3 linked regions of the Canis lupus familiaris genome follow. The protein of the gene in region 1 purifies or fractionates together with the protein of each later gene. This does not show direct contact. Links are inferred from orthologs where the notes say so. Each region holds a gene or a part of one and is shown on either strand. Other genes may lie near its edges.

Region 1 (4,077 bases):
TGTTCTAAGAGCACCAGACCAACTGTGACCTAACGCATTACTCTTTTAGGCCAAGGATGCAGGACAGAGAACCACCATTTACAAACGAGACCCTTCTAAACAGTATGGCCTAAAAATGAAAACTTCACGTGCCTTCTTCAGTGAGGTGGAGAGGCGTTTTGATGCCATGCCATTTACTTTAAGGTACTATGACTGCACTTAACAAGAACAGGACTCAGAACCAGCCTGACTCATAGACCACACACCCAGGAACACTGTTACCTCTCCCAGTGCACCCCCTCCCACCCTGCCCCTGCCTAGACTTGTAGCTCCAGCCTGCATGCATGCCTTCTCTCCCTCTCCCCATTGCCCTCTCATCGAAGATAATGTGCAAGAGCAATCCTAAGCATGATTTCTGCCTGAGGGTAGGAGCTATTTAAAAACAGGAAAATGGTAAGACTTGATAGGGGGTTAAGGATACCTGAATCTGTCTTCCCTCACCCAGAGCATTTGAGGATGAGAAGAAGGCCCGGATGGGTGTGGTGGAGTGCGCCAAACATGAACTGCTACAGCCATTTAATGTTCTCTATGAGAAGGAGGGTGAGTTCTAAGAAGAGAGTTTCACTTTGGAGCCCCTAATTAGGGTCCCCACCATCTAGCTTCAGAAAAGATTATGACAGGGGGTCATTTTATCAAAACCTTTCCTTTCTCCTATAGGTGAATTTGTAGCCCAGTTTAAATTTACAGTCCTGCTCATGCCCAATGGCCCCATGCGGATAACCAGTGGTCCCTTTGAGCCTGACCTCTACAAGTCTGAGATGGAAGTCCAGGATGCAGAGCTAAAGGTCAGTGTGTGAGCACAAAGGAGACAAAGGAGAGTGGCGAGCACATGGCACCTGTCCTGGGAGTGAGGATGAGATGTCAACAAAGGCCTGAAAAGAGTTAAGATACTGAGAGTGACATTTCATGTTTCCTCTACATTGCTCAAAATTTGTTTTCTTTCTTCCTCCTCTTTTCCAGGCCCTCCTCCAGAGTTCTGCAAGTCGGAAAACCCAGAAAAAGAAAAAAAAGAAGGTGTGTTATGATCTTCCCTCTCTGGCAGGGTGAACCTGATCTGTCTTTAGTCTACCTTCCTGGGTTGTGGTGGACGTACATATTTCTGTAGATCCTTACTGCCCTGCTTGGCCCTGACCTAAAGCATTAGGATGTTTTTGCCCTTGGTCTCCCAGATACTATTGCAAGTAGTTGGAAACTGGTAAGTCTTCCTGTTCTTTCCATGAATATAGGCCTCCAAGACTGCAGAGAATGCCACCAGTGGGGAAACATTAGAAGAGAATGAAGCTGGGGACTGAGGTGGGTCCCATCTCCCCAGCTTGCCGCTCCTGCCTCATCCCCTTCCCACCACACCCCAGGCTCTGTGAAGTGCAGTTCGTCTTCTCCACCCAGGACCGCCAGCAGAGCAGGGTCTCCCTGCCCCCATCCCTGTCCCCATCCCAACCCCTTCCAACAACAACCAGCTCCAACTGACTCTGGTCTTGGGAGGCCAGGCTTCCCAGCCACCGAAGACTACTTTAAATAGAAAAGAGAAATTGATAATAAAATCAGGAGTCAAAATTCATCGTCTTCAAGCCCCTCTTTCTAGCCTTTTTCTACTACTCTCTGCTTGGTCAAGGTTTATGGCCCTACAACATAACAGGGAGAAGGCTAAAGTAGCCACCACCACTAAAAACTCAGCTGAAATTTTTTTATACCACTCTGGTGTCAGCATTTTCCCATCTGTTGGGGCTTGTTCCTCTCTTTTCTCACTCCCCAGGTATTTTATCAGGCCTCAAAATATAGAGAAGAGCTATATTCTTCAGATTGTTTTTATTCACATGTAGCAGATTCCTTTTCTGATCCACACTGTCTGGTTAGGCCCCTCTCATTTTTAGGAGCTGGGGCCTGAATTTACCAAGGGATTCTCATCTGTCAAATGGATCCTCATTTGTAAATCTCTTTAGTTTTAGTCATTTCTGTTCCACAGGACTTTTTTTTTGTCTTCACAAAGCTGTGAAGAAGTAATCCATCTCAACCTTGTCCATTTCTTTGGAGTCAATTGGAGGGGGGGGGTCAATGCATTCCCCTGCTCCATCTTAGAAACCTGAGCTGGAAGCTCAACTGGTTTTTGTTCCCTGTTTGAAATATTTTGACCTCCCTCCCTGAAAGACCAGGAACCAAAGGAGCAGACTGACTGAAAATACAACTTTTGGCTTTTTGAAGCTGTGGACTTGGATTGGATGAATTGCTAGGGGTTTGGAGAGAAAGGTGATGAATTTCAGTACCTCTGGCATGCTGTCCCAGGAACTAGGGCTCCCGCTAACTTATGAGGTTTTTAAACATGTTGAAAATGACATGGCGTTAAAATAAATTTGGATTTGCTCATAATCCTGGTGCCTTCATATGGTGCTCTTATTTGATGGAGGTGGGGGAAATGTCAGTTGAAGTGATAGTCATTTGGAACTAGTTTTCTATGTTGCCACATTCTGTCTTTCTAAACCAAGAAGTACTGTGGATTGGGGAAGACCTAAAGCCTGGGTTCTCTGAATTAAGACAGTAAATTTTTAATGAAAGTTTTTAAATTTTTCTGGAGTAAAATCTTACCCCTTGTTGGTGACAATTTGTTTAGGACAAGGTGTACTGTAAGAAAGAAAGCCTGTATATAAGTATATTGGGGCACCTAGGTGGCTCAGTTAAGTGTCGGCCTTTGGCTCAAGTCGTGATGTCAGGGTGCTGGTATCGAGCCCCATATGAGGCTCTTTGCTCAGTGGGGAGTCTTTAAAAAAGTATTTTGATTTCAGAAACCAGGAAAAATGCCTTTGTCATTAGGCAACTTTTCAGGGCCAGTCTGAGATGGATGGATGATTTATTAGACTATCTTACTTACTTGTGAGGCTTTGCTGATACAGAGATAACTATAGTGAACAAAATAATGTAAGTCCCTTCATAAGAGCTTATAGACTACAGTTGACCCCTAAACACAAGGATTAGGGGCACCAACGTGCTGGCACAGTCATCCATATGTAACTTGACCCCCCAAAACTTAATAGCCTACTTTTGACCAGAAGCTAGAATAACCATTAACACATTTTACGTGTTATAGGCATTATATACTCTATTACAGTAAGATAAAGACAATCACAAGGAAGAGAAAATACATTTACGGTATTGTATATAGATTAAAATTCCACGTGTAAATGTACCCATGGCAGTTCAAACCTATGTTCATATGGCAACTGTAGTGGGCAATCAACAGGTGAAATGCTGGTGGACTTGATTTAATGTTGATGGAGGTTTTTTTTCAAAAATTGTTATATTCTTTTTTTTTTTTTTTTTAAATTGTTATATTCTGATGGTGACAATACTAGGTCTTCTTAAACGAGGGCCTGAAGTATTTTTTTTTAATTTTTTTTTAATTTTTATTTATTTATGATAGTCACAGAGAGAGAGAGAGAGGGAGAAGCAGGCTCCATGCACCGGGAGCCCGACGTGGGATTCGATCCCGGGTCTCCAGGATCGTGCCCCGGGCCAAAGGCAGGCGCCAAACCGCTGCGCCACCCAGGGATCCCCAAGGGCCTGAAGTATTAAAAGTTTTTTTCCAGTTAAAAAGATGAAGTGTTACTGTGTAAATTATAAAGGAAAACACGAAAAAAGGATGATCACAAAAAGCTGTACACTCTTACTATAAAAGTAAGGTGAAATCTGTATGGTAAAGGGCTCTTTCTCATCCTTCCTAAATCAAGTTTCCTATAGCCAAATCTATGGGTATGTTTTCTGAGTGCTTCTGACCTGACCATACCATGAGATGGATAAGTTCTTTACCTTAATACCAAATATTCTCACTCTAAAGACAGCTGAGGGGTGCCTGGGTGGCCCAGTGGTTGAGTATCTGCCTTTGGCTCAGGTCATGATCCTGGGGTCCTGGGACTGAGTCCCACATGGGGCTCCCTGCGGGGAGCCTGCTTCTCCTTCAGCCTGTGTCGTGTGTGTGTGTGTGTGTGTGTGTGTGTGTGTGTGTGTGTGTGTGTGTGTCTCTCTCTCTCTCTCTCTCTCTCTCATGAA
Region 2 (4,504 bases), on another chromosome or scaffold:
TTAGTTTCACGGATTTCTCCAAGATAATTAGGGGAATCCTTAAAAATCCTCCAGTGCCCAGGGGGCTCCAGGGCAGGGGCATCCTCAGTCAAGATGTAGCTAGTTTAGAACTAATTTCCAGGCTCACTTCCAGTCTAATCGAGGTCAATGCATTTCTTGTAAATCGTTTGTTTTCTTCACAGGCCAGAACAGTCTTAGCAACGTTAAAATTAGGAACTGCACTGCCTGGGGGCACCTGGGTGGCTTAGTGGTTGAGGGTCGGTCTTCAGCTCTGCATTGACTCCAGGGATGGAGTCCTGCATCAGGCTCCCCTCAGGGAGCCTGCTTCTCCCCCTGCCTGTCTCTGCCTCTCTTTGTATCTCTCATGAATTAACTCACACACACACACACAAATTATATATATATATATATATATATCTATATCTATCTATCTATCTATCTATCTGAAACCGGACCCAGGCATATCCCTCCAAACTCTTAGAGGGATGTTAGCATTGGACTTTGAGCTAGAGCATCCTGTCCTATAGCTTCATTCATTTGGACGCTTGGCCCGTTTCCTCGTCTCCAAACAAGGGATACTCACATCTGCCTCACGGGATCTTACACGGGGAAGTACTGCGGGTACGTGGCCCTTTTAAAATCTCGCGTCTGGAGAGATCAACCAGGCTTGGTGCCTGCCCTGCTCATTTGGAAGAGGCTCACTCAGTCCCCCTTAGGCCCCCAGATGACAAAAAGATGAGGGATTTCAACTTCAGAGATGTTTACTCAGCAAGGAAAGGGCTATAAAAGCAGTTGAATAAGTCGGGACAGCAGCCACATCTTTTCTCCCCAACAAGGAATACTCGGTTATCCAGGGTCTCTGGCACCTGAAGCTTTAACTTTGAGGAAACAATGAACTCTGAACCCAAGCCTTCGGGTGAGTCAAAATCCCGAGGTGGCTCTGCCTGCCTGGAGGCCTGAGAGGCACGAAGTGATGGGGAACGGTGAACCGAGCTCTCTGGCTCTCTTACAACCGGCTCGCCCTCCATACCTAGCACCGCCAAGGGCTGCCGCCGCCATTTTGCAGGGTGGGCAGCGCAGGCTCCAGGCGCTGGGCCGGCGGGTGGGAGCGGGAGAGGACGTGGAAGGGTGGGAGGGGGGCAGCGCGCGCCACCAGGGGAGAGCGCGCGTGCGCACAGCGGCGGCGGCGGCGGCGGAGGGGTGGGGCCGGGGTACGAGTGCGCGTGCTCCATGGGAGCCCGCGAAGTACCTGGAGGAGGTGGGGGGCGAGGTAGAAAGGAGTGGAGTTGAAGAGCGCTTGCGCGGGAGGGCGACCGTCAGGGGAGGGGGGCTCCCGAGCACGCGCGCGGAGACGGGACTTGGAAAGCTCTCGCGAGATCTTCGCGGTGCTATATATGTGCGCAGGGAGCCCGCGTCCTTTCCCTGCTGTGATTCCGTCCTGCGCGGCTGTTCTGAGGAACAGTAGTCGTGTGTCTCCGTCCGCCTTCTCTCCCACCTAAGTGCGTGCCACCGCCCCATGGAAGATTCGATGGACATGGACATGAGCCCCCTGCGGCCCCAGAACTATCTTTTTGGTAAGTGCAGGGGGGGTGGGGTGAGGCCGGGCAGGGCCTGGTGGCTTTGAGGTGGGGGTGGGGGGGCGGGAATCCCACTGAGGCCTGGGCTGGGAGGGTAAGCCAGGCAAGCTGGAGGCCCGAGGGAGGGAGGAGAGCCGCCGAGGCCCTGCCCCGTAAGGGATGGGAGGTCCAGAGAGGAGCACGAAGCGGTGAAAGGAGGGGCGGCCTGAAGCCTTGGGCAGGAACGATCCCAGGCCCAGGGCCTGAGGTAACGTAGAACCGACCGGCTGAGGGTTCGGCTTTGCTTGGGGGCACGCGGTAGAGCCACGGGCTTGATTTTCTCTTGAGCTGCGTGGTTTCGTACAGGCTTGGGATTCTTGGCCGGCGTCTTTGATGCAGGGCCCCGGCTTGGTCCTGGAGGTTGAGGGAGTCCGCGGTGTGGGCCGTGGGCTTCCTTTCTGGGGGAAAGGGTATTTAGAGCCTCGCGTTGTCCCTAGGCCTCAAGAGTGCGGAGCTTCAGGGCCGAGTTTCAGCCCCGGTGCCTCGGCCCGTTGCGGGGGGAGGGGAGGCGCGGCCGGGCGTGAGGAGGCCGCAACCGCTGGGAGCACGTGGTTGCCACGTGGTTGGGGGAAGGAGGGGGTGTGGGCACTACATCCGGGTCTCCCCGGTGGCTTGTCACCACGGAGCGTGGCATCCTGGGGCTTAATTGAAGCTGTTGGGCGGGAAATCTTAAGTGAAGAGGCTGGTAGAGCCAAGATTCTGTAAGTCTTTGTTCAGTCCTTAACATCCGTGATGGCAGTTCTCATTTATAGAGCACTTGTTAAAAAGATCGAACCAGCCCACTTTGCACATGACTGATGCTCAGAACTGAAGGCTTGAGGCTTAACGAGGGCTTGTACTTGTAGGTAAATAGTGGGTAGATCTAAACCAAGACCCTTCCTTGCCTCTAGAACTGGTGCGTTGATTTTTGGAGGGAGGCTGGGGGAAACAGCCTTCTTGTGGCCTTGAGCAAACAGCTTTTTTGAAAAGATGAGGAATTTGTGTGGGGTTCAGTAAGAGCTGGTACTGTTTTTGGAATCTTCCCCTCCCCTCTCCAGAAAGCAGTTACATACATAGTAGAGAGGCCAGCTTTGGTTTTCAATCTTAGTGAAATTGTCAGAAGCCCTATCTTTGTCAGACTTTGAAGTAAGTGCAAATCCTGCCCCCACGTTTCTTTATATACCATGCTGAGATTTGTTAATTGAGGTAACATTTAGACATCTATGTACCAGTAACTGTTAGAGGGCAATTAAATGGAGTCCTTTAATTAAAAGGTTATTCTGATGGTACTTGAAACAACTTGCCTATTGATGGGATGGGAGTGGGTAACTTACACCATATGTTACGGCTTTTATTCCTAGTCCTTTTGAATTGCTAGGGTTTCTGGTCAATTTATACTGTATTTTTGTGTTAATCTTTTCTACGGGAAATATCCCTAGGATATATCTATTCTTAAACATAATTTCTAAGCATAATGAACATCATTTCTGTTAACTTCAAAGGTGGAATATTGACCCCTCTAGCAAGTTTTGGGTCTTTTACATCTGTAGTTTATGTCCTGTGAATACAGGCTGTTCTTGTAGGTGTTTGTGTAACCATTCTCGTTTCTAAATTGGTCACTTCTCTTTCGTAGGTAGGTGATTAGTCCTTTTTAAAGTTTATCGATATTGTACATTAGACTTCGTTTCAGATACTGCCAGATCCAGATTTACTAGATCTTTGAGCTTGTTTCTATCTAAAAACAACTAGAGTGTGGTTGAAAATGAAATAGTATAGTTGGAAAGTGGAATTTATAAAGCCCTGTATAAATGTTACGTGATGTTTCTAGACATTGCTGTTCAAGAAATCCAGGAAGAGCTACCTCTGCATTGCCTACTGATAGCTAGAATAGTGGGAAACTTGGTCACAAATTAACTGTTACCTTTCGGTTATCCTCACTTAAGTTTCAGTGTCATTTTTCTCTGTTGCTTTTTTCCCTTGATTTACAGGTTGTGAACTAAAGGCTGACAAAGATTACCACTTTAAGGTGGATAATGATGAAAATGAGCACCAGTTATCTTTAAGAACGGTACTGAAACTTTCCAAAATAAACTACTTGACCTTTCTTGATTCCTATTCCTATTTGTGTGACTTAACATTTTCATAGTAGTATTGTTTATAACTGAGTGTTATAAATACATGATCTTGTACCTGTACTATAAAACTTGGCATCTTTACTTTTCATTTGGTAATGTGAAGTTGAGTCACACTACTGTTCAACTTTCCATATTTGTGTATTTTGCCTCTCTGGCTGCATTAGAAAAAGCCCTTTAGGGCAGTGATAAATTTTATTTTTTTGTCCTCCATAGTGGGGCCTGCAGCCTTACTGCCTAACTTAGAATAGGTGGACAGTAGATGTTAGGTGGTCCATTCTGTGGGTAGCAGATAAAACTATGCCATTAAATATATTTGCTGCGTTTGTTCAAATGAAAAATTGGTTGGCAAGGCAACCTAAAACTTGAAGATGACATTGTGCACCGATAAGTTTTCTGTTAGTGGTAATAATAGGTTTATAATTGCTTAGTTTTTTCTTAGAAGGCAAATTTTGGGGGGATTGTAAAATAGGAACTTAAAGTATTTTTGTTCACAGGTCAGTTTGGGAGCTGGTGCAAAGGATGAATTGCACATTGTTGAAGCAGAGGCAATGAATTATGAAGGCAGTCCAATTAAAGTCACTCTGGCAACTTTGAAAATGTCTGTACAGCCAACGGTAAGGGCACTGAGACTTTTGGATTTTATGTCAAGGTCTAATTCTATTGTATTAAGGTAGGTGTTGTTTAGGTTACACCAAGGACTTAAAAGGGGGGAATTTCCTTTGTGTTTTTTTAGTAGCAGCTGCATCACTGTGGGGTTGAATGATAACTCTTGAA
Region 3 (4,532 bases), on another chromosome or scaffold:
ATGGTATACGTATCATTACTGCCAAAACCTTACCCTGATGTATCTTACAAAAGTAGCCTAAAAACTAGCCAAAGAACTCCTCACCATCTTCATCCTCATCCTCATCCTCCTCGTCGTCGTCTTCATCATCGTCCTCCTCATCATCCTCCTCTTCATCTGAGGCAGGGGCGGCAGCAGCTGCTTTCATCACTGTTGGCTCGAATTCATCCTCATCTTCATCCTCATCTTCCTCATCCTCCTCTTCACTGTCATCATCTTCTTCCTCATCACTGTCTTCCTTCTTAGCATTCTTACCGTTCTTTGCTCCCTTGGCTGGGGTGGCTGCTCCTTTCTTACCAGGGGTTGCTACCAATGCCTTGCCTGGTGTGGTTCCCTTCTTGCCAGGTGTTGCTACTGCTTTGGCTGGTGCAACCGCCTTTTTGGCTGGTGTAGCTGCTGCCTTTTTGCCAGGGGTGACAACTGCTTTCTTGGCTGGTGTGGCAACTGCGACTTTTTTTGTTGGGGAAACCATTACCTTCTTTGCTGGAGTTGTGGTAGCCTTTTTTCCTTTTTTCTGAGGAATAACAACCTAAAGAACAAATAAAACCAAAGGTAAGTCTTCTTCCAAACCCAAAAAGACAGCCTTGGTCCCATGAATGAGACTAAATTCTAACACTGTTCTGGTTTCAGACCCACATGCACTGGATGTTATGTTAGCATGCTAAACTACAGAACCATGTGCCAGAAATCACAGCCTTCATCTTCAGGTAAAATACTCAAGCATATAGAGCCCCTTTTTAACAGCTAAAATACCTCACACATTATAACTGCAACTTTAAAACAGGCTTTAAGAAAATTTTAAGCCTCGACTTTTTTTCTCCTCTGTAAGGGATAACAGCACCAACCTTACATATTGTTAGATTAGGAGTTGACATATATATGTAATTAGAAGTCTTGCACAAAGAAAGCTCTACTTGTTAGATGCTACTGAATCATTCAGAGGTCCTACAGTGGGCAGTGGTTCATTGAAGGCTTGTTCTTAAGACCAGTAAATGAGTATCAAATACACTGGATAGTTAGCTCTTCCTAAGTTTAGTAAAGAGTAAGCACCTTAAACCTGATAAAAACCATCGTTCATCTACATTAAAATTATACTTTTTTGCTCACTCCTAGTTTTACTGGGTACCATATCATCAGTAAAATATTCATTACATCCTAAACAAGAAATCTAAACACAAATACAATAGTTGTCTTTACAGTAAGCAAACAGTAATAGGTTAACACAAAGTGAGGTGGCAACGCTCAACCCACACCAAGATGTTCAGTAACCAGTATCACGATGCTCTTATACAATGAGAGACAAATCAATCCTGCTTGGAGGCTAGGAAAGTAATCTGGTAAAGCTAACCTCAGACCTGAATAAATGCACAGGAGTGCCACTTACTTAACAGTTAATAGTCCAGGCTGTTTGTTTATCTAGTAAGGTGGGGGTTAACATACTCAAACTAGAAAAATGTCATGGCTGAACACAAATATAACACCAAGCCCTACAAAAAATGCACATGAAAAAAGGACTCCCAATTTTTTCTCTCAAATTCAAATACTTACCTATATCAACATGTTAATGAAGAGCTTGGAAAACAGTCTCAGCAGGCCATACTCAATGAATATAATCTTATTTTTGCCAATATTTTCATACATCCAGTATCAGCTATTTCAGCTCTCCATTTCATAGTTTAACACACGTCTCCATAAAGTTGTATATAATTACCTCTTCTCCGCTGCTGTCATCATCTTCATCTTCTGACATTTCCTCATCTTCACTGTCTTCTTCTACCTCCTTTGGGGGAGGAGCCATTTTCTTGGGGTCACTTTGATTTTTACCAGCCTAAAATAGACATTTAGCACATTACACCTAAAACATCTGACCGTTCATATTATGCCATCATTCTTCAGAGTAAAAAGCAGCCGTCTCCCTACATAAAGTCCACATTTCCTAATGCTAGATATAAAAATTAACATGAACACTATCGAAGCCAACGTCAAAACAGCAACTGCCAACCCCCACCCCATTACTCCTGTCAGGTTTTACAGAAACTCAAGGATAAAAATGCAACTACAACAATATTATCTCCCTCCTCCTTTTGCCTTCGTTAAGCACATCCGTTTTTAAAACGATACTTCCAAAACCGACCATTACATCACGCATGATTTTAATAGACTACAACTGGCCAATTTTAACGGCCAACAATTCATAGCCCTTCACCGGGGGCGGAGAACCACACCTGGGGGGGAGAAAAAAAAGCTTTTGGTAAATTCTAGCACCAGATCTTACACAGTCGCCTGAATCCAAATTTGGGGGCAGGATCTTCAAGACAACTTTTATAAAAGAAAATCAGACCTTAATCTTACTACCTTTGGTCTCCCCATTAAGTTCTTTCCCGTGGAAAAAAACCCCGCCCCTTCCAGACCAGGCAGAGCCACGTGGGGATACCCCGTAGGTCACCATGTGCGCGCAGCAGGGCGCAGAAAGCACGAGGCAAGGCCTCCTCCTGAAGCCCACCTCGCGCCCGCTTGTCTGGCCGGGGCCCACAGGCCACGGGGCCTCCATCTGAAACCATCCCGCAGCCCCCCGCCTCCCCTCCAAGTCCCCTCCGCAGACGCCGGGACACACGCGGCGCGGCCCACGTGGCGGGCAGCGCGCTGAGGCACGTGCGTCAGGAGGCGGGGCCCCGCTTGGGCCCGTCGCAGGAGTTCGGCATCATCCCTCCACCCCGAGGCCCAGCGCCCCCTCCCCACTCAGTCCCTAAGTCTTTCGGCGCCGCACCAACCACCCGCGGAACCTGCCGAAGCTCTTCACCTCGCTACCAAATAGCCAAAAGCCGCGAGACCTCCCCGCCGATCGCGCGAGATTTCCCGCAGCATGGCGCCCTCGAACGCGCCCGGGACGGCGCGCAGGCCCTCCTCCTCGCGGCGCCGCGCGCGCGCTCCTCAGAAAGCAGGCCTCGACGTCCATGCTTGCGCAAGCCGTCTTCTTACCTTTGCGAGCTTCACCATGATGGCGGCTTATGCCGGCGGAGTGTGTGGCGGGCGAGTGGCGCAGACGAGCCCAGAAGAATCCAAGCGACGTCGATGGCGGCCGCGGGTACGAGAGGTTCCCGGAGCGCGTACGCTTGGCTGCTCGCTAGAGCTCGAGACTGAGGCGAAAGACTGAGCCTGCCCAGTAATCGCCTCTGGAAAGGCGACGACGGCGCCCTCGTGACTCCGTCTCGACCAATCAGAGGCTGCGCCCATCCCGTGGGCCAATCGCGAGCCTCTACCCAAGAACGGCGCGGGGCGGGGCGCAGGCGGGAGTGGGCGGGCCGAAGCGGGCAGGGGAGGGGGAGGGGATTCGGTGGCGGCGCCCTGGGGGCGGGACTCGCTTTGTGCAGGGCCCGCGCTGATTGGGTAGTGGGCGCGCGGTTCCTGAAGTGCCCCTCCGCGGCCCGCGCTCGCGACGCCTGCGCGGTAAGACGGCCGTTTTTGGCGCCGCTTGTTCCCGAGCCCCGGGAGGCTGGGTACTGGTGGTCTCCGGTTCCCGAAAGTGTCCAGGGTGCTGTCGACGCCGGAGGCCTTGCAGATGCCAGGCGGCCCTACGCGCGGCTCCGACCCGCTCTCCACGCCGAGCCGCCCGGCGGCCGAGGAGAAAGTGTTCGCCCGCTTCTCCCTCCGCGGATGAGCCCGAGACCTCCGGAAATTCGGGGACCGTGAGGTTCAAAGCGCCCGGGTTGGAGGCCCGCCTCCGCCCCCCCCCCCCCCCCCCGCGCCGTCTGCAGGTGGTTCTCTTTCGGGCCACGTGTCCGAAGCTGCCTCCTGAGGGCTGTTAATAAAGACGGTCGCGGATGTCTGTGAGCGCTGCACAAACGCCACATTTAATGTCCAGCCACCTCATGCGCTAGGTTTTTGTCCCAACGAGGAACAGGCCCGGAGGAATAACTTTCTGGTGGTCACCGGGTGTTACAACGGCGGCGGGGGGAGGAACTTGGTCAGGCCAAACACCGACCCATTGGCCGCGCAAGTTCCCTTTTTGTTTTTTGGGACTAAAGCATACCTTAAGGTGTGCTGACTGAGGAGGGTTCCGTGTCACCTAAGGGTCCCAAGAGCCAAAGGAAAGGTGCCCTCAATGGCGGAGGCACAGAAGGGCCTTTGCCTTTTGCTTTTGCCAGTTATTTTGATGGGTCATTGTGGGCAAACTTGTTAGTGCCGAACATCCCAGAGCACTTCCTTCGGTACAGAGCCCGCCTGCGACATAACCTGGACATCCAGTACCTACCATGTTTCTACAAAACCAGGATCCCTTCAGCTATCAGTATATTTCCACAATTGAACTGTTGTTTAGAGGCTCCTCCGTGGAGATTCTAATTCAAGAGGTTTGGGTTGGGGACGGGGATTTTGTGTTTTAACAGGGGCTCACGGATATTCTTGTGAACCATCCAGTTACTTTGCAATTCTTTTTTTTTTTTTTTTTAAGATTTTTAAAATTTATTTATTCATGATAGACACACAAACACACA

What was found.
Region 2: the proteins of PA2G4 (region 1) and NPM1 purify together in Homo sapiens (affinity purification with mass spectrometry; 4 studies listed by BioGRID and IntAct, with this or other methods). This does not show direct contact. The link is inferred for Canis lupus familiaris from reciprocal best matches to the Homo sapiens genes PA2G4 and NPM1.
Region 3: the proteins of PA2G4 (region 1) and NCL purify together in Homo sapiens (affinity purification with mass spectrometry; 3 studies listed by BioGRID and IntAct, with this or other methods). This does not show direct contact. The link is inferred for Canis lupus familiaris from reciprocal best matches to the Homo sapiens genes PA2G4 and NCL.

The regions. Positions count from the first base shown.
Region 1 is NC_049231.1:783,856-787,932, forward strand, and holds part of PA2G4 (proliferation-associated protein 2G4), read left to right. Parts: intron 1-49; coding exon 50-183; intron 184-484; coding exon 485-579; intron 580-696; coding exon 697-824; intron 825-999; coding exon 1,000-1,053; intron 1,054-1,265; coding exon of another isoform or gene 1,266-1,331; exon of another isoform or gene 1,332-1,597; intron 1,598-4,077. UniProt on the Homo sapiens protein: May play a role in a ERBB3-regulated signal transduction pathway. Seems be involved in growth regulation. Acts a corepressor of the androgen receptor (AR) and is regulated by the ERBB3 ligand neuregulin-1/heregulin (HRG).
Region 2 is NC_049225.1:41,660,100-41,664,603, reverse strand, and holds the start of NPM1 (nucleophosmin), read left to right. Parts: upstream 1-1,430; 5' UTR 1,431-1,516; coding exon 1,517-1,574; intron 1,575-3,583; coding exon 3,584-3,663; intron 3,664-4,224; coding exon 4,225-4,344; intron 4,345-4,504. UniProt on the Homo sapiens protein: Involved in diverse cellular processes such as ribosome biogenesis, centrosome duplication, protein chaperoning, histone assembly, cell proliferation, and regulation of tumor suppressors p53/TP53 and ARF.
Region 3 is NC_049246.1:43,521,074-43,525,605, forward strand, and holds the start of NCL (nucleolin), read right to left. Parts: upstream 3,184-4,532; 5' UTR 3,037-3,183; coding exon 3,019-3,036; intron 1,868-3,018; coding exon 1,751-1,867; intron 569-1,750; coding exon 85-568; intron 1-84. UniProt on the Homo sapiens protein: Nucleolin is the major nucleolar protein of growing eukaryotic cells. It is found associated with intranucleolar chromatin and pre-ribosomal particles. It induces chromatin decondensation by binding to histone H1.